Linked DNA regions of Sus scrofa. The protein of the gene in region 1 interacts with the protein of each later gene in a pairwise test. Links are inferred from orthologs where the notes say so. Each region holds a gene or a part of one and is shown on either strand. Other genes may lie near its edges.

Region 1 (10,345 bases):
CATCCCACCCCGATGCCCCACTCAGCCCCCGGACTCACAATCCTCAGGACTTTGCTCTCCTTCTCAGCCGCTGGACAGTCCTGGAAGCAGAGTGAGAGAGCAGAGGCCTACCCTGAGTAGGGTGTACTGCCTTCTCCCAAGGGTAGGGAGGTTCCCTGAAGGCCCTCCCTGCGCCCCATACTCTGGCCCCCTTCCCAGAACTACATGGCCTCAGAGGTTTGGCCTCAAGCTCTCATCCCTGGAGGCCAGGCACCTAGAAGTCACCACACACGCCCTCCCCTGCTCCTCCCCCTCCTGAGTTAAACTTCCTGAGCTACCCCAGCCCGTTAGGAGCCCCCACACCCCCATCACCCCCTACCCAGTGGCTGGGCCTCTTCTCCTTCCACCCTCGCCTCTTCCTGCTCTCACACCTGATCCTCTGCTGATTCACAAGTTATAAAAAGCTGTAGCCTGATTTGGTCTCTATGGCCTGGGCCAAGCCTGGCCCCTGGTTCTCCTACCTCCTGCAAGGCCTGGCCCAGCTCCCCGCACAACTCCCCAATCTCCTGGCAGGATGAGAAGTCATTTAAGTGGGAGAAGAGGTACCTGGCAGGGGGAAGGATGGAGCAGTGGTTAGGGGACTGAGCCCAACAGTCAAGTCAGTGGACCACCCTGAGCTGACTATGCATCTGGGACTTGGGGAAAAATCCCCATTCTGATGGGTTTTGATTTGGGATAAATGAGATGACTCTACATCTCAAGACAGGACTTGATTGTCAAGTGCCTACTAAATGCCAGGCCCTGTTGTAGGCACTGGAGAGGCAGATATTAAACATGTAATCACATCAATAATGATTTAACTTCTATTGCTGTGAAGTGTAGGGAGCTCTCAGAGTGTATAACAGGGAGGGCTTTCCTGAGGAGGTGACATCAGAGCTGGGACCTATGGGACAAGCATTAGCCAGTCAAGTGGGTGGAGAGCTCTGGATGCAATGTCGTTGATGCGATTGTCATGGTTACAAGCTGGAAGTGGCGTGGGAACTCAGACATCCCAGTGCCCCTACACAGACCAATTAGCTTCTTTGCCCGCTTCCACCATAGCTGAGCAAGCTCTATTTTTCTCTCCCAGGTCCTGGAAGAGGCCAAGGATGAGAAGGGGCCCCTTACCCTTCACACAGACCTGGGGGGAGCCCGAGGTACCTGTTGAGCCAGAAGAGGAGGGAACGGGCCTCATGCACCAGCTCGACGGCTGCGTTGAGGACATCGGCAGGGGGCTCGGCACAGCCCCCCAGGTGACCTTGGACTAAGCCCTGGAATGCCCGGATCCTCTCCAGCAGCCTTTCTGTCAGGCTCTGCAGGTTCTCCGACTGTAGCCCGGAGCTCTGTACCAGAGGGGCAGGTTAATTCCTGGCAGCGGCCAGCCTCCCATCAGCACTTCCAAAGGAGGTGGAAGCTGCAGCCAGTGTGGCCACCAGGCACTCACCAGGGCCCGGAGCTGTTCCACCCCTTCTAGGATGAGCTCCTGATGGCCCAGAGGCCACACAGTTAGAGCCTCCAGGCTGCGGGGGCAGAGCTGGAGCAGGTACTTGCCAGGCAACTCCCAGTCCTCAAAGGGATAGTCCTGCAGGGAATCATCGAGGCCTGGAGGGAGAATGGGGGTCAGTGTGGCAGGGAGCCAGGGGTGTCAGGGCCTTGCCCGGCAGTACAAAAGCCCTTTTCCTATTGACAACCCTGAGACCCAGGCTGTGCTCTGTCCTGCCCATTTCACAGATAAGGCTACTGAGTTGAGAGGGAGGATCCCATAGGGCAGCAGCTCTCAGAGGTGGCCCCCAGACCAGCCGCAGCGGCCGCCTCACAGGAGAATTTGTTAGCAAGACATATCCACAGCCCCACCCCACACCTGCTGAACCAGAACTCAGGGGCAGGGCCCAGCACTTTGCGTTTTAACAAATCCCCAGGTGTTCTGAAGCTTGCTCAAGTCATGCTTGATGGGGCTTTGGAGTCAGAGCGACCCGAGTGATAGCACTTGAGCAAATAACTTAATTATTCCGTGCCTCAGTTTCCTCACTGTCACGTGGGGCTAATAAAAACACCTACCTTCTAAGCATGTGTATTAAATAACATGACGCAAGTCAAGCTCTGGACCCACTCTCTTGGTTCATGGTAGACAGAAAATAGCAGCCCCTGGAGTTCCCGTCGTGGCGCAGTGGTTAACGAATCCGACTAGGAATCATGAAGTCGCGGGTTCGATTCCTGGCCTTGCTCAGTGGGTTAAGGATCCGGCACTGCCATGAGCTGTGGTGTAGATTGCAGACGCGGCTCAAGATCCTGTGTTGCTGTGGCTCTGGTGTAGGCTGGTGGCTACAGCTCCAATTAGACCCCTAGCCTGGGAACTTCCATATGCTGTGGGAGCAGCCCAAGAAACGGCAAAAAGACACTCACACACACACAAAAGAAGAAGAAAAAAAAAAGAAAATAGCAGCCCCCATATGATTATTGACGGACTTTTTACCATGATTTGCAAGGTCTTGTATAATTGGCCACCACCTGCCTGTCCGGTCTCATTTCTTGGCCCAGCCCTTCAAACTCAACACTTGAGATCCAGAGCACTGACTCACTGCAGCTCCTGGAAGGCTCTCTTGCCTCAGGGTCCTCGCATATGCTGTTCCTTCTGCCTAGACTGCTCTTCTAGCTCCTTTACATCTTTTTTCATCTAACTCCTTCCAGCCTCCCACAACTCCCCAGGCTGGGTTGGGGCAACTTCCTGTTCTCACTGCCTCTGTGCCTCCACCAACCCCTGCACCAGAGCACCGGCCTCTTCTGCTTGATGACAAGCTCTTCGAGGACTGGGCCTTCAGCAACTGTTCATCTCTAATTCCAGCCCAGGCCTGGCACAAGGTAGACACTCAAAAATATGAAAACTATCTAGGAGTTCCCGTCGTGGCACAGCGGAAACAAATCAGACTAGGAACCATGAGGTTGCGGGTTCGATCCCTGGCCTCGCTCACTGGGTTAAGGATCCGGCATTGACATGAGCTGTGGTGTAGGTCACAGATGCAGCTCGGATCCCGTGAACGTCACAGAGGTGGCTCGGATCTGGTGTGGCTGTGGCGCAGGCCAGCAGCAACAGCTCTGATTAGACCCCTAGCCTGGGAACCTCCATATGCTGTAGGTGTGGCCCTAAAAAAAAACAAAAAACAAACAAAAACTATCTAGTGAATTTAGGAGGTAGAGATGCTGTTATTCTCATTTTACAGATGGGAAAACAAATCAAAGTTAACAGCTAGCTTTCTTGCTCTTTGAAGGAACCCCTGCCATTCAAAGCCAGGGTCCGTCACTGGAGTATGTGCACATGATCAAGAGCTGACCCTCATTCCCTGTGTGACATTAAGAGCATGTGACTAGGGGAGTTCCCGTCGTGGCGCAGTGGTTAACGAATCCGACTAGGAACCATGAGGTTGTGGGTTCAGTCCCTACCCTTGCTCAGTGGGTTAACGATCCGGCGTTGCTGTGAGCTGTGGTGTAGGTTGCAGACGCGGCTCGGATCCCGCGTTGCTGTGGCTCTGGTGTAGGCCGGTGCTATAGCTCCGATTGGACCCCTAGCCTGGGAACCTCCATATGCCGCAGGAGCGGCCCAAGAAATAGCAAAAAAAAAAAAAAGAGCATGTGACTAGGGGTTCATGAACCTGTTGCTCCATGGCAGTGGGCCCTGGAGCACCTCCCTTCCCAGGTATTGTGAATATACTGGGCTGCCTCCCTCCCAACAGATCCTGACACTGAGCTAAATGCGCCAGGTCCTGGTCGTGATGGTCTCATTTGGTCCACTTGATGAGATCAGAGCTGCCTTTCCCATTTTAGGGAAGGGAAAATAGACCTGTATTGCAAAACCGTGAGTGGAGGGGCTGGGCCTGGAACTCGGTCTGAGTGTCTGACTCCAGCCCTGAATCCCTGCTTTTTCCGGGGCTGGTCACCCCGAGCCTGCTCCCAGTGTACTCAGCTGCTCCCTGTCAGAGGGATGTCCTGACTCACCTGCCCACCCCCAGCTGCATGTCAGAAGGTCTTCACTTAGAGTCTGGGCCCTTCCTCACCCATCTGGGCTCATCTCCCCTGGAGGCGCGGAGTGGGGGGGCTATGTCAACCCCTTCAGTCAAGCTAGGGCTTCTGCTCTCAAGTGGGAGCAGGTGGGGAGAAGGGAAAAGACACCCAGGCGGCCCTCTTCCAAAGCCAGAGCAAATCACTTCCTGGCTCAGTGCATAGGTTTCCGCTTCTGAAAAATGGGTTTAATAACAGCCTACTGCGCCCTGGGGCAGAGGGGAGATGAAGGAGATACAGTGGGGGTGGGCCCGCTGGGGCAACACCCTCCGTTTTCATTACACAACCACTGCCTCCCCACAGCCACCCTGGCAGCCTCTTGAGCTGCTTGGGCGATGAGAGACCCCTTCTGGGTACTCGGCCCCCCGACTTCCCAGGGTCATCTTAGTTTTTCTTCCGCCAGGTTCACGGCAGACGCTCCGTAAATACTTGTTGACTGACTAACCAGCTGGAAAACCGGGCAGGTCGTTTTCCTTTGCCTCTCCCGGTCCCAGTGCTCCTGAAGCCCAACACTGCCCCAGCCCCACCCACCTCTCAGCCAGGCCGCCACCTTCCCGGGGGTCCAGGTCGCGACTGGCTCCATGGCCAAGTTCGGCCGCTCAGATCCGCACCCGTTCGGTCTCGCCCGCGCAGGAATTTCCGCTCCCAGAGCCGTGACCTGGGGAGGGGCCGAGCCGGGCTGGGCCGGGCCGGGCCGGGCCGGGGGCGGGGCCACCAGCATACCTGGGCCCTCAGAGCTCACCAGGTGAGGCGTTGCGACAGCCATTGGCCTCCTGCCTGTTCACCTTCTGCCCCGCCCTTCAGGCATCCTAGGGCAGCTGGGCTGCCAGGGCCAGGGTGTGCCTCTGGTGTGTGACCCAGCTGATCTCAAGAGGATCCCTGCCCCCAAATGGCCTCACCTGGCAGCGTCCTCCAAAAGGGGCCAAAAAGTGAGCAGTGAGCACAGCAGCAAAGCACAGATTTTCGGGAGCCAGAGCCTGGGTGCAAATCCCAGCTCTGAGCTTGTTAGCTGTGTGATGAAGGGCTAAGCCTACACACCAGGCATCAGTTTCCCTGAGTGGATGTAATAGTTCCTATTTGGGAGAGGTGCTGTGCAGAGTGCCTGTGTGAATAGCTCTAAAACCTTCAGAACTGGTTTTTAGCCCTTTTTTTTTTTGCACACGGACACTTTCGGCAGCATGATGAAAACCCTGATCCTTTTTTGCAATGATGCTTTTAAAAGTGTAGAGCAGGAGCTCCCATCGTGGCTCAGTGTTTAACGTAATCCGACTAGGAACCATGAGGTTGGGGGTTCAATCCCTGGCCTCATTCAGTGGGTTAAGGATCCGGCTTTGCCATGAGCCGTGGTGGAGGTCGCAGATGTGGCTCAGATCCTGAGTTGCTGTGGCTGTGATGTAGGCTGGCAGCTGTAGCTCCAATTTGACCCCTAGCCTGGGAACCTCCATATGCCGTGGATGCGGCCCTAGAAAATACAAAAAAAAAAAAAAAAAAAAAAAAAACCAAACCAAAACAAACAACAACAACAACAAAAAAAAAAAAAGCATAAAGCAGTGGAGTTTCCCTCATGGTTCACTGGGTTAAGGCTACAATAAAGTGTCTGATCCCTGGCCTCACTCCCTGGGTTAAGGATCTGGTGTTGCCGTGAGCTCCAGGGTATGTCACAGATGCGGCTTGGATCTGGTGTTGCCATTGCTGTGGCCTAGGCCAGAAGCTGCAGCTCTGATTCGACCCTAGCCTGGGAACTTCCATATGCTGCAGCGACAGCCATAAAAAGAAAAAAAATAAACAACAAACCCAACCTCCAAATAAATAAAAGCATAAAGCAAAATGCCAAAGATTACAAAGAGGACACGTACTGCCAAAACATATTAAAAATCCAAATGTATTATATAGTAATAGCTATTTATCAGCATTAAGTAACAAGACTGGCAAGTTAAATTTTCCTTTTCTAACGATATTATTGTGTTGTTGCTCAGCGTGAATAACACTGAACTGTGGGTGCTGGTCTTTTACTCAATTCCTCACACTTATTGACCAGCAAACAACTACAGATAAAGAATGCAAGGGAGTAATGAAGAAGCCAGGGTCACCAATGTCAGAGCAGGTGGATTCACCATTTGGTCACTGATCCTCTACTGGGCACAATCAATGGCAGCTATGTCACAGGAGTGTCTGAAACAGAGTGTGATTTAGCAGTGTATTAATAACTGTCACCATTTTGAAATAGTTATGAGCATAAGTAGTATTTTGAGAGGCATGCAATAACTACAATTTGTCATGAAAATATCTGTGGTTTCTACTGGTGATGAAGCCACACCGAAGGCTAATACTTCAATCCATATAGAAGGAAATGGTAAATTTTGTTTAGAAGTTAGTGAAAATACGTCACTTTTTTTGCCATCCAAGTTTATAGACCCTCTGAATTGGGAAGTCCAGGTTAAGAGCCTTCCTCTTAGAACAATGTCTGGATACTAAGTGTCTGCAGTTGTCAGCATCATCGCCCCAGGCCAGGGGCCTCCCAGGACTTTGGAATCAGATGGAATCAATTCCACTCGCTCTGTGTCTGAGCCCACCCCTTGCACCTCTCGGACCCTGTTTCTTCCTCTCTAAAAGGGGGATAACCAGATCTTAGCTCTGTGAGGATGTCCTTTAAGTATTTTGAAATCTGTAACATGAGGTAAATCTGAGTTATTATTGCTTTAATTCTATGGGGAGGGGCCCGGAAGTCTGCTCCCTCTGTGTCACCTAATGTCTACCAGTGCCTCAATACCTGGCCTCCAAAGATTGTCATGAACTTGACTGTCATCCAGAGACCCAAAGTCCGAATTTGGCTCACAGATGTCTGTGTAGCATGTGCACATGTGTGTGTGTGTGTGTGTTGCTATCATTTAACAATTTCACATACCAACTGAATTCCCTGGAGCTTGAGTGGCTCAGCGGACCCATCCCATCCTCACATGTGGCATCAAACCTGAGTCTAGATCGTTGGTGGCTTCCTTCAAGGGGACTCATTTGTGAACCAGTAGATGCCAAATTTGCAACTCAGCTTTCACCTCTCTGGCTTTGTCCTTGGCCTCACAGCTTCACAGTCTGCCCCATTCGTCTGTCCAACACACCTCCATGCTGCTTCCTCCTCCTTTATTTTTTATTTATGCTTTTCATAAATAAGGTCTGCGGCATAGGGAAGTTCCCAGGCTAGGAATCTAGCAATGCCAGATCTGAGCTGTGTCTTCAACTTACACCGCAGTTCGCGAGGCCAGGGATCAAACTCACATCCTCATGGATACTAGTCAGGTTCATAACCTTCTGAGGCACAAAGGGAACTCCCGCTTCCTCCCCTTTTTTGCCGCCTCCTCCTCCACTAGGCTCCCTGTGGAACTCTGGGGAAGCCCAATAAACATAGACCTATCTCCACCATCTAGATTTCATCAAACACCCACCCTGAGCTGGCACAAAATAGAGAGGTGAGAAGCCAGCCAGCCTCTACTGTCCCTGAACTCACAGTCCGGTAGAAGAAAGGAACGAGAACTCGCCACTTGTACTCAGATCTAGGGCCTGACAACCACACCAGTGCCTTTCCTCTGGGCCCCCAGCAGCTGGTGGGGCTGGGCAGTTAGAAGTACAGTAAATGGCAGCTTCTATTTTGAAGGTGGTTTTATAAGTTTATAAAAGGTCTTCAGACGTATGTGCTGTAAACATTTTAAAGGTAACAGCAGGTCATTAAGTGGAAGGAGGACAAGCCCTTTCCCCTGCATGGCCCCATCCTGTCACCTAGAGTGGGCCATTTAAGTTTTTTGAGTGTTCTTCCATTCTTTTTTTTTTTTTTTTAATGCCTACAGCAGCAGCATATTGAAGTTCCCAGGCCAGGGATTGAATCTGAACTGCAGCTGCAAACTATGCCACAGCTGTGGCAACGCTGAATCCTTTAACCCACTGCACCAGGGGCCGGGGATTGAACCGGTGCCTCCACAGCAACCTGAGCTGCTGCAGTTGGATTCTTAACCCATGGCACCACAGTGGGAACTCCTTAAAAAAAAAAAAAAAAAAAAAAGAAGACCTGGAGTTCCCATCGTGGCTCAGTGGTTAACGAATCCGACTAGGAACCATGAGGTTGCGGGTTCGATCCCTGGCCTTGCTCAGTGGGTTAATGATCCGGCATTGCCGTGAGCTGTGGTGTAGGTTGCAGACGTGGCTCGGATCCCATGTTGCTGTGGCTGTGATGTAGAGCTAGAGCTCCGATTAGACCCCTAGTCTGGGAACCTCCATATGCCATGGATGCGGCCCTAAAAAGACCAAAAAAAAAAAAAAAAAAAGAAAAAAAGAAAAGGAAAAAAAAGACTCTGTTAAAAAAAAAAAACAACCTATAGTTGATTTACAATGTTGTGCCAATTTCTGCTATACAGCAAAGTGTTTCAGTCATACATATATATATATATATATATATATATATTCTTTTTTTTTATGGCCTCACCTGTAGCATATTGGAGTTGCTGGGTTAGGGGCTGAATGGGAGCTGCAGGTCTACACCACAGCCACAGCCACATAAGATCTGAACAGCATCTTTGACCTACACCACAGCTTAGGGCAATGCTAGATCCTTAACCCACTGAACCCGAGGCTAGGGATCAAACCCGAATCCTCGTGGACACTGTCAGGTTCTTAACATGCTGAATCACAATGAGAACTCCTATGTACATGCTTTTTTGTATATTATTTTCCATCATGATCTATCCCATGAGATTGGATATAATTCCCTGGGCTATACAGTAGGACTTTGTTTATCCATTCTAAATGCAGTAGTTTGCATCTACTAACCCCAAACTCCCAGTCCATCCCATTCCCTCTCCCTTTAGCAACCAGAAGTCTGTTCTTTGTGAGTCCGTTTCTGTTTTGTAGACAGGTTCATTTCTGCCATATTTTGGATTCCGCATAGAAGTGATATTATATGGTATCTCTAGGTCCATCCATGTTACAGTAAATGGCACTATTTCATTCATTTTTTAAATTTTTTTGGTTTTTAGGGCTACACCCGCAGCATATGGAAGTTCCCAGGCTAGGGGTTGAATCAGAGCTGTAGCTGACAGACTACACCATAGCCACTTGGGATGGGACCCTCGTCTTCGACCTACACCACAGCTCATGGCAATGCTGGATCCTTAACCCACTAAGCGAGGCCAGGGATTGAACAGGCATCCTCATGGTCCCTAGCTGGATTCATTTCGACTGCAGTGGGAACTCCCTGCACATCTTAATCTAAATGCTCATTGACAGATGAATGGATTATCTCCATGTCTTGGGTGTTATGAAGAGTGCTGCTATGAACATAGGGGTGCATCTCTCTTTGAATTATAGTTTTTCCAGATAGATGCCCAGGAGTGGGATTGCTGATCATACAGTTCTATATTTAGTTTTCTAAGAATCTCCATACTGTTTTCCATAGTGGTTGTACCAACTTACACTCCCACCAATATAGGAGGGTTCCCTTTTTCTCCACACCCTCTCCAGCATTTTTATTTGTAGACTTACTAATGATGGCCATTCTGACCCGTGTGAGGTAGTACCTCATTGAAGTTTTGAGTTGCATTTCTCTTCCATTCTTTCTATATGCAGAATCTCTACATGCTATTCTGCAAAAATGCTTCCCCCATTTTAATGAGATAATCAATGTGAAATGAAATAATACCCGTAAAGTACTTAGAATAATGCCCAGCCGTCAGCTACTATTTTTTTAAAGCACGATTTGGACAGCTTTCTTTATCAGTAGATGCAGATCTTTTATTATTGTGCCCAAGCTAAGATTGGGAAGTCCCTACAGGGACTCCTCCAAGGGAAAGGGGTGCAATGTGCCCTCCCCCAGCATAGGTGTGGTTGATTAAGAGAAACCAAGTGAAAAAGGCCTACTCCAGTTGGAAGGGGGTACTAATACGGCACCCAATCCCGCCTCTGCTGAGAGCTGATTGGTGACATCCAATCGACTAAAGCAGGGACTGGGCCAAGGCCAGGGCTGGGGAGGCCCTCCCGTACCTGGTCCCAGTCTGAAACTTCCCTATACTCCCAGGCAAGACCTCTCCTGCCTGCCCAGCCTGGACTGCCCGTGTGGCTGGGGGAGGTGCTGCTCAGGCCTGATGCTGATCTCTCCTGACAGCTGTTCCTAAGGCTGGCAGGGCGGGCAGGCGGGGGAAGGGACAGATTTAAAGGTCTAGCTGCTCCGCCCCCTGCCAGACCTGGGAAGGCAGGCACTGGTGAGCATCCTCTGAGGGCATGGCTCTCTTGC
Region 2 (10,290 bases), on another chromosome or scaffold:
ACGGGCGAGCACAACTTGGGCGAGGAGGGCGGCTTCTCCAAGTCCCCGAGGCTGGTCAAGGGGCAGCCTGGCAGAGGCGTGATGCTCCCGGCCTTTAAACCCAGGAAATGAGAGGCGAGGCTTCTGAGAAAAGAAGAAGGCACTGGCCTCTAAGTGCTGAAATCCCCTCAAAATGGACCGCAGGAAAGGAGACAGGCACCGAGGGAAGGAGAAATCAAATTCAAGGAAAAACTCAGGTAGTGACACAGCTACGAAGTCCGCTTTTCAAAGCAGCTCTAAGCCTCGGGTGAGAAGATACACTGTGCAAATGGCTGTGGTTTCGTTTTTTTGTTTGTTTCTTTGGGTTTTTTTGTTTTTTTTTTTTTTTTTTTTTTTTTGCTTTTCAGGGCCACACCCTCGGGACATGGAGGTTCCCAGGCTAGGGGTCGAATCGGAGCTGTAGCCACCGGCCTACACCACAGCCACAGCCACGCCAGATCTGAGCCGCATCTGTAACCCACACCACAGCTCACGGCAACGCCGGATCCTTAACCCACTGAGCAAGGCCAGGGATCAAACCCTCCACCTCATGGTTCCTAGTTGGATTCGTTTCCGCTGAGCCACGATGGGAACTCCTGCAAACAGCTTTTTTAAAAATAAAAGTCCAATAGTACCGAAAGGCTCCTAATGAAAAACACAAGACTGTCTCAAATAGGGGAAAACAGCGTTTGGTGAAATTCAACAGCCCTTTCTGATTAAAAAAAAAAAAAAAAAAAAAAAAAAATGTGGTAAACTAAAAATAAAAGAGTTCTTAACCTCAGCAAAGGGTCTGTGGCAGAAACCTACAACAATCATTAGACTTGGAAACGTTCCCAGTAAAGACGGACCAAGGACGGGTGCCACCCACACGGACAGCTGCCTCCAAAGCACAAGGCTGGGGAGGTTCGCGATTGCCGCTGGGGCGCATCGGGTTAAGAATCAGACCGCAGGAGTTCCCGTCGTGGCTCAGCAGTTAATGAACATGACTAGCATCCGTGAGGAGGCAGGTTCGATCCCTGGCCTCGCTCAGTGGGGGGGCGCTGTCATGAGCTGTGGTGTAGGTCGCAGACGTGGCTCAGATCTGGCGTGGCTGTGGCTGTGGTGCAGGCCAACAGCTGCAGCTCCGACTGGACCCCTAGCCTGGGAACCTCCATATGCGGTGGGTGTAGCTCTGAAAAGACAAAAAAAAAAAAAAAAATCTGACTGCAACAGCTCAAGTCACTACATTCAATCCTCAGGTCCAAGCATGGATCTAGCGCTGCTGTAGCTGTGGTGTAGCTGGTAGCTGCGTCTCAGATTTAATCTCTGGCCCCAGAACGTTCTGTATGTCACAAGTACAGCCATTTAAAAAAAAAAAAAAAAAAAAGGCGCCTGGGGAGGTTTTCCCAGGGCTTGCAAAGGGAAGCATGTCCATCAACTAAGTTCTCCGTAAGCAGTAAATCTGTAGTTCTCCACCCGAGGGGGCTGTCAGGGTCTCTGCACATCTTCCAAGACGAAAACATCTCATAAACTTTATTGAAAACGTTCCTCAAAATGTTAGGATCCCCCAGCAGAAAATTCCACCGTGAATGTGAACAAGTGGGACCTCGGCTGAACCAGGATATAAAAACGCTAACTTTGCGGCAAACAAGAGCCTCCGATTTGCTTCGGGGTCTGTTTCTTTAATCAGGAAAATGTGGGAGACTTCAACGAGCGGATCGGTGCTCGGGCTCACTCTGACTCAGCGTCTCCTATTTAAACAAAAATGTATTAACGATGACTGGGGACACGTGAAGCTTCCCCTTGTTTTCCAGCCTGATTTAGGGTTTGGCGGGGCCGCACCCCGGCTCACAGAGGAAAGGCCTAAGGACCTGCCTTCCTGAGCCTCCGTTCCTCTCCCTCTCTTGAACCACTGCCCGCCACCTCTTCCCCGTGCCAAAGAGGCACCGTCAACAGATCACAGGGCACACTGGGAACGGCTTCGAGGGCAGCTCCGCGGTCACACGCATCTGCTCTGGAGCTCACGCTCCAGCCCCGCAGGACAGCAGCGCACACTCACGAACATGCCCCATAGCCCAGCTCTGTTCCAAACGCTCGGGCCAAACACGGAGCACTTCGGAGGGAGGAGAAGGGCTGGAGAGCAGTCTTTGTGAGCAAAGACTCGAGTTCGCAAGCTGTGTGGGAGGCAGGATTCAGGGGTCAGGCTAGGCTGAAAGAGCCAGGCTGGTAGCAAAGAGTGTGTGTGTGTGTGTGTGTGTGAGTGTGTGTCCCCCAACGCCCCCGGCACATGACCTTAAAAATTAAAAATGAACAGTTTTAAAGCAAGGAGAGGAGGCAAAGGAACTTTTATCTGCCTCCGAGCCAGGCTCGACCTTAACATTTTAGCTGCTGGAGATCCGGGCTGTCCCGAGACCTGCCTCCCACTCCACCCCCTCGGCCCAGACCACAGACGGTCCCCTCACGCCCAACACCGGAGGCGCCGTCAGAGAGTCAAACCCGCCCTTTTAAATAGATTTCCTCCTCCTCCGTCGCCTCGTCTTGGTCTTTTCCTTACTCCTGTGACGGCAAAAGGTCCCTCAGTTCTGAGAGGCGTCTTTATGGGTCATGCAGAGCCCCTGCGGCTGTGGGGACAGCGAGGACACAAGACGCTGCCCAGGGCCACGCGGCCCCTTCGCTCTGAAGGCTCCGGGAGCGGATTCCAGCAGGAGACGGAGCCACCGTGTACACACGCCCACCGCACGTCTCAGCGCCGAGCAACAGATGTTTAGCAGCTGTCCAGCAAGAGTGCAGGCTGGAGGAACAGGAGGTGAAACTTGACGGAGCCAGAGAAAAAGAGAGGCGGGAGTGCAAGGAGGAAACACCCGGCTGAAGGCAGCCGGGCACCAGGGCGCCCTGACCGACCTGTCTCAGCCGGGTGCTACCATCTGCCGCCAAGGCGGTAAGAGCGGCCACGTCTTAATTTTACACACACTCCCCCAAACGTTACAGCATGCCTGCTTCTATTTTTAAAAATATGATGCCTCGTTTAGCTTATAAAGAAACTGTACCTCGCTACCGCCATGGAGCACTCGTTTTCCTGGGAGGCGCGCGGAGCGGGGCGCACGTGGTCACCAAGCGGAGCCCAGCCGCGGGCAGGCCAGGGGCCACAGCTCAGCTCCTCCCGTGTGAGCCTGTGCGAGTTACTGCATCTGGTTAAGTCTCAGATTCCTCGTCTGCACGGAGGGGCTGGCAGGCCTATCTCGAGGACTGCTGTGAGAACCGGCAAGGAGCTACGATGCCCCCTCCAAGTGCTAGGGCAGCGGCTGGCACGCCGCAATTAACCACTGACCAGTGGCACTCTTGCTGCTGCTGCTACTATTGTATTAACTACTATTAACACCTTTCACCTAGACACTTACAAGGAGTTTCTCCCCCTTAAAGCAGAGCCTCAGGCACCTAAAACTAACAATACCTACTCCCATTCTACTGGGGGGCCAGGGGGTACTTTCTTGGTGGTGTCTGGATCTGCAGAGGGCATCGATGACGAATGCAAACCCCAAGGAGACAGACCCAGTCAAAAATAAACACCCGCCATCCCAATCTGCATTCTAGTCTACCAGCCACTAGGCTCAAGGGAAGTGCAGTCCCGGAGGCCTGCAAGCCCCATCTGAAGACTGTTTCTCACCGTGCAATTTCCACGGCGAAAAACCCTGTGTTCACAAGAGGAGCCACGGCTGGCACGCCAACGACAACGCCACACGGCCAACCAATGACAGTGTGGCTCTCGCCGACGCTGACGGATGTCTGCCATGTAATGACACGAGAAGGGCTGGGAGGAAACCCTAGGTACAGAGAATTTGGCTCCCGTTTTGAAAAATATACATATTCACTCACAGAAAAGTCAAGTTGAACACACCAAAATGGTGATCATGACAGAATGAGAGATGATTTTTCAGTCTCTTCTTTGCAATTTTCTGAAAACTTTTAGGAGCTTGTACTTTCACGATCAGAAAAAAAAAGAAAAAGAAAATCGATAACGCTATTTCCACCTTAAAATAAGACGTTACTCCGCGGCTGAGCAGGTCACATGTGGCATGCCACGGGTCACAGACAGCTGCTCTCAGCCCTCGGCAGGGCTGCCCCTCGCCCCTCGGGGTGCCAGGCCCGGTCCTGGGGGCCCTTCTCTAGGCCTCTTCTTAGCTTCCATTCATTTAGCAAATCCTACTCAACACCTGCTCTGGAGCAGGGGCTGTGCCTGCAGCAGGGGCCACGCACAGCGACAAAGCCACAGCCGCTGCCCAGCTTACCCTTCCCGGCCGGTAAGGAAAAGCGCCAACTCCCACCCCACCCCACCCTCATACACACATGATTCATATCACAAAACCTCAGTAAGGTGCAGAGGGGAAAGGCAGAACGATAGGAAACTCGGGTTGAGGGTCAGGGAGGGCGGAGGAGGTGACCTGGACACGGAGCCAGGCAGGTGAGGCGCAGGGCGCTGACGAGAAGCTGCTTCCAGGCAAGGACACGGTCCGAGCAGAGACTCGAGGGCTCTGCAGCACGAGAGAAACGTCTCACGGCTCACATGACATCGAGATGGGGTCTGTCTGTGCGCCAGGAGTCGGCCCACCTCCCAGGTCCTTGTACGCAACAGTCACACTCAAAAAATGTATGTTTCAAATCAGCCTGGTTATCCATTTGCAGTAAGAAATACAACTGCCTTGAGCACACGCTCTTTGCTTTCAATGCTGACCCATCAATTCAGAGACAAACAGGAACCTACCCCAGGGAACCGGTACCGGCAACTAACACATCATCACATCCTCTCCCACCTCCAAGTGTGGGCAGGCGACTGAACGGCGGGCGGGACAGTTCAAGGGCGTCACGGTCCTGCCCAGATGCCCTCGCCGCTCCACAGAAACACCGCACCCACACCAAGTCCACCGCTAACACCTGCTGCACACGGGGTCTTCACCGAGCCGGACCGCGGGGCAGCTCTGCCTCCGGCCCGGCGGGGACACAGCCATCCTTCCCTCTGCTGCTGCACAGCCAGCCATCTGTGGCCTTCGGAGGGGGAGACGGTGCTGGCTTTACAGGCTATGAGCCTAAGGTAGGAATCACCTCCCTGTTCAAACACTGCGAGGACACCTCACTGCTGTCCCCGAAAAGCCTCAAAACACGGTCCCGCTCCAGACTCCTAACCCTCAGGTTCCTCTGAGCCTAACCGGGAACCATCTGGCCGCTGGGCTTTCTCGCCCCCGCCTGCACCCGCGGCTAAAACTTGCCTGTCTCCTGGTCTCTCCACACCCCCGAGGTTTCACCTCCCCGACCTGCCTCGAGATGCACTGTTTCCAACCTTCCCTTGCTTTCCAGCCCTTCCAGACTCGCTGCCAGAGCCAATCCTGGATAAACTCAACCGCCCTTTAATCCAACCCAGACATAAGCACATTCCTGACAATTAAAACAAACCGGAGGCAAATCAGTTCTCGGATCTTGGGAGAACAGCAGCCAGAGGCAGGCAGGCCTCGGGAGCTGCAGCTGCAGGAGGGGCCAGAGGCCCGGGATCCAGCGCTCGGATTCTCGCTGCCCAGCCTGGGGCCCGGGTCTCTCCTGGCAGCCCTGCCTCCCCCTCTCCATTTCATCTTCCTCTAAGACCACCAAGAAAGAGCGCAGGGCCTGCCAAAAAAAAGGACCGTGTAGAGATCGCCTCACCGGTGCCAGCGGCCACCAGGACCCGGTGGTGACAGTCGCCGCAGCAGCCAGAGGGCAACCTGAGCAGGCCGCCCGCCTGGGGCACAGCTCCCCCAGGACAGCTCCCCCGGCCCAGCTTCCTGTCGCTGCCCTCAGCTTTCTGGGCGTGGCTCCTAGACTTCCTGCAGGTCCGGTCACCTCCCCGGGGTCTTCCCAAAGATTCCCTCTGGTCACCCGAAGCCACTTGTCACCGCCTCCACCCTCACTTCTCCGTCCACTGCAGCCTCCAGGCAGCCCAGACCTTTCTGGCCAAGCTCCTTCAGTGGTGCTGCTCCTAAAACCCCGTCCCCCAGGCACCCACGTGCTCCGCCACACCCCAGCTTCTCTGGACACCTCAACGCCTTCACGACCTCAACTGTCTCCGAGGTGCTACTTTCTGCACTGTATTCAACTGGCTGCCAGACCCCTGCTCCAGGAAACCCTACAGAAACAGCCCGTGTCCAGAAACGAACCCATCCTCTTGACCTCTACCCCTCCTGTCGGTCCCATTCCCCGCCCGGATTCAAGTCCTCACTCTGGGTCAAGTTAGACACGCTTGGAGTTACTCTGGCCCATATCCAAGGGGTCACCAGATCCTAGAACCTGTCACTACCTCAGGAACCAGTTTCCGTTTGAGGTAGTCCACCCGCCTCTTCGTCTCTGGTCCCAGTTCCTACCCTATTTCAAGGCCTTCTTACCGACCTCGACTTTGCACTACGCAGTCCTCCTTCTGAATCACCGAGCTGATCAGAGTTACCATCCCGCCTGCAGCCCCGACTCAGGGGCCCTGACCACGCTACGTGCAGCGCTACGTGCAGCGGGAGCCGGGCAGGGCCAACCTTCGCGCCTTGGAGAGCCGCCGCGCAGCTCCGTGAGTCAGCCTCCCAGCTATGCAAACGTCAGACAAGCATGGACACTCGCGGCCCTGGGAGAAGAATCAAAGTACCTTCTGGGTGCTGAGCAAGGTCTGCCTTTCCAGGAACTCACATTCCCCTGGTCCCATCTGCAGCCGGGCCAAGGAGCCTCTCGGAGGAGGAGGAGGAGAGAGGCCCCGGGGCCTCGCTGTTAGAGGACGCCCTGGGTGTCCCGGGTCTGGGGCAGGAGAGGACACCAAAAGCCCCAAAGCGGAGGACAACACGCAAGCATGACTCAGGCTCAACCTCAAGGCCCGGACGCTCAAGGAGGGGGGCTGGTTTCAGCACAACTTGTACTTAAGACTGGAACCCCCTGGGGGCGCGGGACCTGGCGACCCCGCCAAGCAGCTGTGCTCAGCGAAGAAGAGCTGAGAGTTCGGTGCAAACTAACAGAGCAGGGCGGGACCAAGGAACCCCTGGCTCAAAGAGGTCGTCACACAGGAGAGGGCGGGCCTCCTCGAGATGGGCGATCACAGGGCTCAAGGGACGCGCTGGAAAAATAAGGGACGCGGCCCAAGCCAGTGAAGAAGGCCTTCCGTTTCCACGGGCCCTTCCCACCCTCAGCGCAGGAGCGAGAGCCCCCCGTGCCTCGTCTGAGTGCCTCTAATCTGGTCCCAAGGGACGCGTCCCAGCCCATGGCCCCCCAGGCCCCTCGCCTCGCCTTGCTCCCAGCCCACCACGCGGCTCTGCTGAGCTCGGGGGTGTCCCTCGCCACACCGGGGACAAGCTACACGTTTCTCGAGGCTCGGTTACCACGCACCCCATCACGTCTGCGCTGGTGCCCGCGCCGTCAGGACGCTTTCTGCCCAAGGGCCTCCGCCACCACGTGTCCTGGCTCCGCCCCACGCCGGCCACGCCCACAGCCTGCCACCCTGCCTCACACGTGGTCACCTGACAGATGAAAACTCAGACGCCGCCGGCAGTCAAGGAACAGGACAGCGAGCGGCGTCCTGCCACCGCCAACTCGGTCACTTCCCCTCTGACACAGAGCGTGTGGTGAAGCCCCCAGGCCGGGAGGCTCCTTCAGGATCCGAGTGCCCTGTGCCCTCCTCCACTGTGCAGCAGAACCCCGGGGGCCTGCTCTTCCCAGGACAGCCCATGTCCCCAGCAACAGAGGCTCAGAAAACACATGACCCACATCTGTTGATGAAATGAGCTGAGCAGAGGCAGCACCCACCTCTCACCTACATGGTTCTCTGATTTCTATTAAAAAACATAAAAACAGGAGTTCCTGTCGTGGCGCAGTGGTTAACGAATCCGACTAGGAACCATGAGGTTGCGGCTTCGGTCCCTGCCCTTGCTCAGTGGGTTAACCATCCGGCGTTGCCGTGAGCTGGGGTGTAGGCTGCAGATGCGGCTCGGACCCCGCGTTGCTGTGGCTCTGGCGTAGGCCGGTGGCTACAGCTCCGATTCGACCCCTAGCCTGGGAACCTCCAGATGCCGCAGGGGCGGCCCAAAGAAATAGCAAAAAGACAAAATAAATAAATAAAAACAAAAACACACTTTTTATTCCCACAAGAATTTCTGCCAGTGAGAAAGTTCCACCCATGGGGAGTTTCCATCGTGGCTTAGTGGTTAACAAACTTGACTAGTATCCATGAGGACATGGGTTCAATCCTTGGCCCAGCTCAGTGGGTTAAGGATCCAGTGTTGCTGTGAGCTGTGGTGTAGGTCGTAGATGGGGCTTGGATGCCTCATTGCTGTGGCTGTGGCGTAGACCAGCAGCTGCAGCTCCGATTCAACCCCTAGCCTGGGAACCTCCATATGCCACAGGTGTGGCCCTAAAAAGCACCACCCCCCCAAAAAAAGCTTCCACTCATGTGTCCAAGCAGTGCACAGGAATCTGACTACTTATAAGCTTATCTTTATTTCTTCCTAAATCTCAAAAGTCAGCCAACTTCCGGGGGTGGCAAGAGAGGCAAACCCCAGAGAGAACATGAGTCTAGCTACGTGCACAGAAGCCTTCACCTGGCGCTGCAAGAGTCTAAGGGTGGCGTCAGTTTGGCTGAGATTAGCAGTGGGTATACAGGTGGCTTCAGGCAAAGACAGCAAGGCTTTCACTCATTCTAACATTCTAACAAAAGAAAATACATTTTTGGACTTCTCGATGTGGCACAGTGGTTTAAGGATCCAGCACTGTCTCTATGGCGGCACAGGTTCAATCCCTGGCCCAGGAACTTTCATGTGCCATGGGTGTAACCAAAAAAAAAAAAAGAAGACAATACATCTTAAATATCTCAGACAACCTTCTGAGGTTGAGCATCATTCGAACCCAGGAAAATGGCTAAGAACCTTGTTCCAACCGGAAGAGTGGGCTATTAATGTTTTAAGAGTTAGTTGTATTTTTTTTTCCTTCATTTTTGGCCACACCCATGGCATATGGAAGCTCCCAGGCCAGGGATGGAATCCAAGCTGGAGCTGCCACCTACACCACAGCTGCAGCAATGCCAGATCCTTAAACCGCTGCACCACAGAGGGAACTCCTAGTTGTATTCTTTTTAAAAGAATTTCTTTTTAAATTCACTTCCAAGAAAATCAGAGAAACACTGTGAATCTTAATATCTATTTTAACTGCTTCATTTGTAACCAAAAGAAACCACCCTCGGGCTCCCATTCAAGCATAATTCCTTCCTGCAGGTAATTGTTTAAACAATTTCCACCAAAAGAATCTCTTTACCGCTGTTTTAAAACAAGTAAAAGGGCTGAGGGAAAAATACTGAAAGATTAAAGAAATGACTGCTAATGGACAAGATGCAGTTCAGCAGAGGCTAATGGAGGCAGCTGTGCTTTGTAAAGAAATACCAACAGCAGCATAATGTAAATAGCCTACAACATGGCCAAGCATACTGAGCAAGCAAAAGTAAATTTAAAAAGAAAAGCCCTTTGGTGAAACGATCTTGTATGGTACTAGGATGGATCCACCTCATTCATTACACATCTGTCCCAACGCACAGAAGATCTGACACGGGGAGCAAACCCGAACGTAAACTGGGGCCAGTGGGTGATGTGTCGACAGGCGGTTTTAAGAGCAGTAACAGGTGGACCATCCCTGAGGGCTGTCCAGAGCAGAGGGGGGAGGCGGCAGGTATACAAACAACCCCTGAACCTCCTGCTCAATTCTGCTGTGAATCTAAGACCGCTCCCCAGATCACATCTATTTAAAAGGAGAAAAAAGAAAGACAGAACGCCAGCCAGCCTTTCCTTCCTGTCCTCTGTGGTCTCTGCCCATCAACACCCACAAGCGGCCACCGATCTGTCCCCTGCTCTGTTTCCTGCCCCCACTGCACGTTCTCCTTCAGCAAATACACAGGCTCCCACTGTCTCAACTCTCATCTCCGTTCATGACTTGCAAATGTGATTCCCAGCCCTGTTCTCTTTCCTAAGCTTCAAAACTGTCTCCATATGGAGGGCTCCCTAGTGTCTCAAAATGAACACTTTCCAACAGAACTCGGGGCCAATGCAAATGGACAAGAGACTAAAATCTCAAGAATAAAAACTGGAAAGGAGGAGATAAAATTATCACTTGCCAAAGAAATGACTGCAGAAGTAGAAAATCCAAGAGACCCAACCAAAAAGCTACGTTTCTAAAATCAGTAAGATAATCTGGTAAGCTAGTGAGATGCAACCATACAGAAATCAACAGCTTTCATAAATCCAAACAATAACTAGATAA

What was found. The genes of interacting proteins can lie anywhere in the genome.
Region 2: the proteins of CNKSR1 (region 1) and CYTH3 interact in binary tests that used the Homo sapiens proteins (3 or more experiments, as listed by UniProt). The two-hybrid records come from large-scale screens. The link is inferred for Sus scrofa from reciprocal best matches to the Homo sapiens genes CNKSR1 and CYTH3.

Annotation. Positions count from the first base shown.
Region 1 is NC_010448.4:83,592,764-83,603,108, reverse strand, and holds the start of CNKSR1 (connector enhancer of kinase suppressor of ras 1), read right to left. Parts: upstream 4,747-10,345; 5' UTR 4,655-4,746; coding exon 4,603-4,654; intron 1,621-4,602; coding exon 1,463-1,620; intron 1,362-1,462; coding exon 1,180-1,361; intron 586-1,179; coding exon 501-585; intron 81-500; coding exon 39-80; intron 1-38. UniProt on the Homo sapiens protein: May function as an adapter protein or regulator of Ras signaling pathways.
Region 2 is NC_010445.4:4,927,308-4,937,597, reverse strand, and holds the start of CYTH3 (cytohesin-3), read right to left. Parts: upstream 6,534-10,290; 5' UTR 6,464-6,533; coding exon 6,406-6,463; intron 1-6,405. UniProt on the Homo sapiens protein: Promotes guanine-nucleotide exchange on ARF1 and ARF6. Promotes the activation of ARF factors through replacement of GDP with GTP. Plays a role in the epithelial polarization.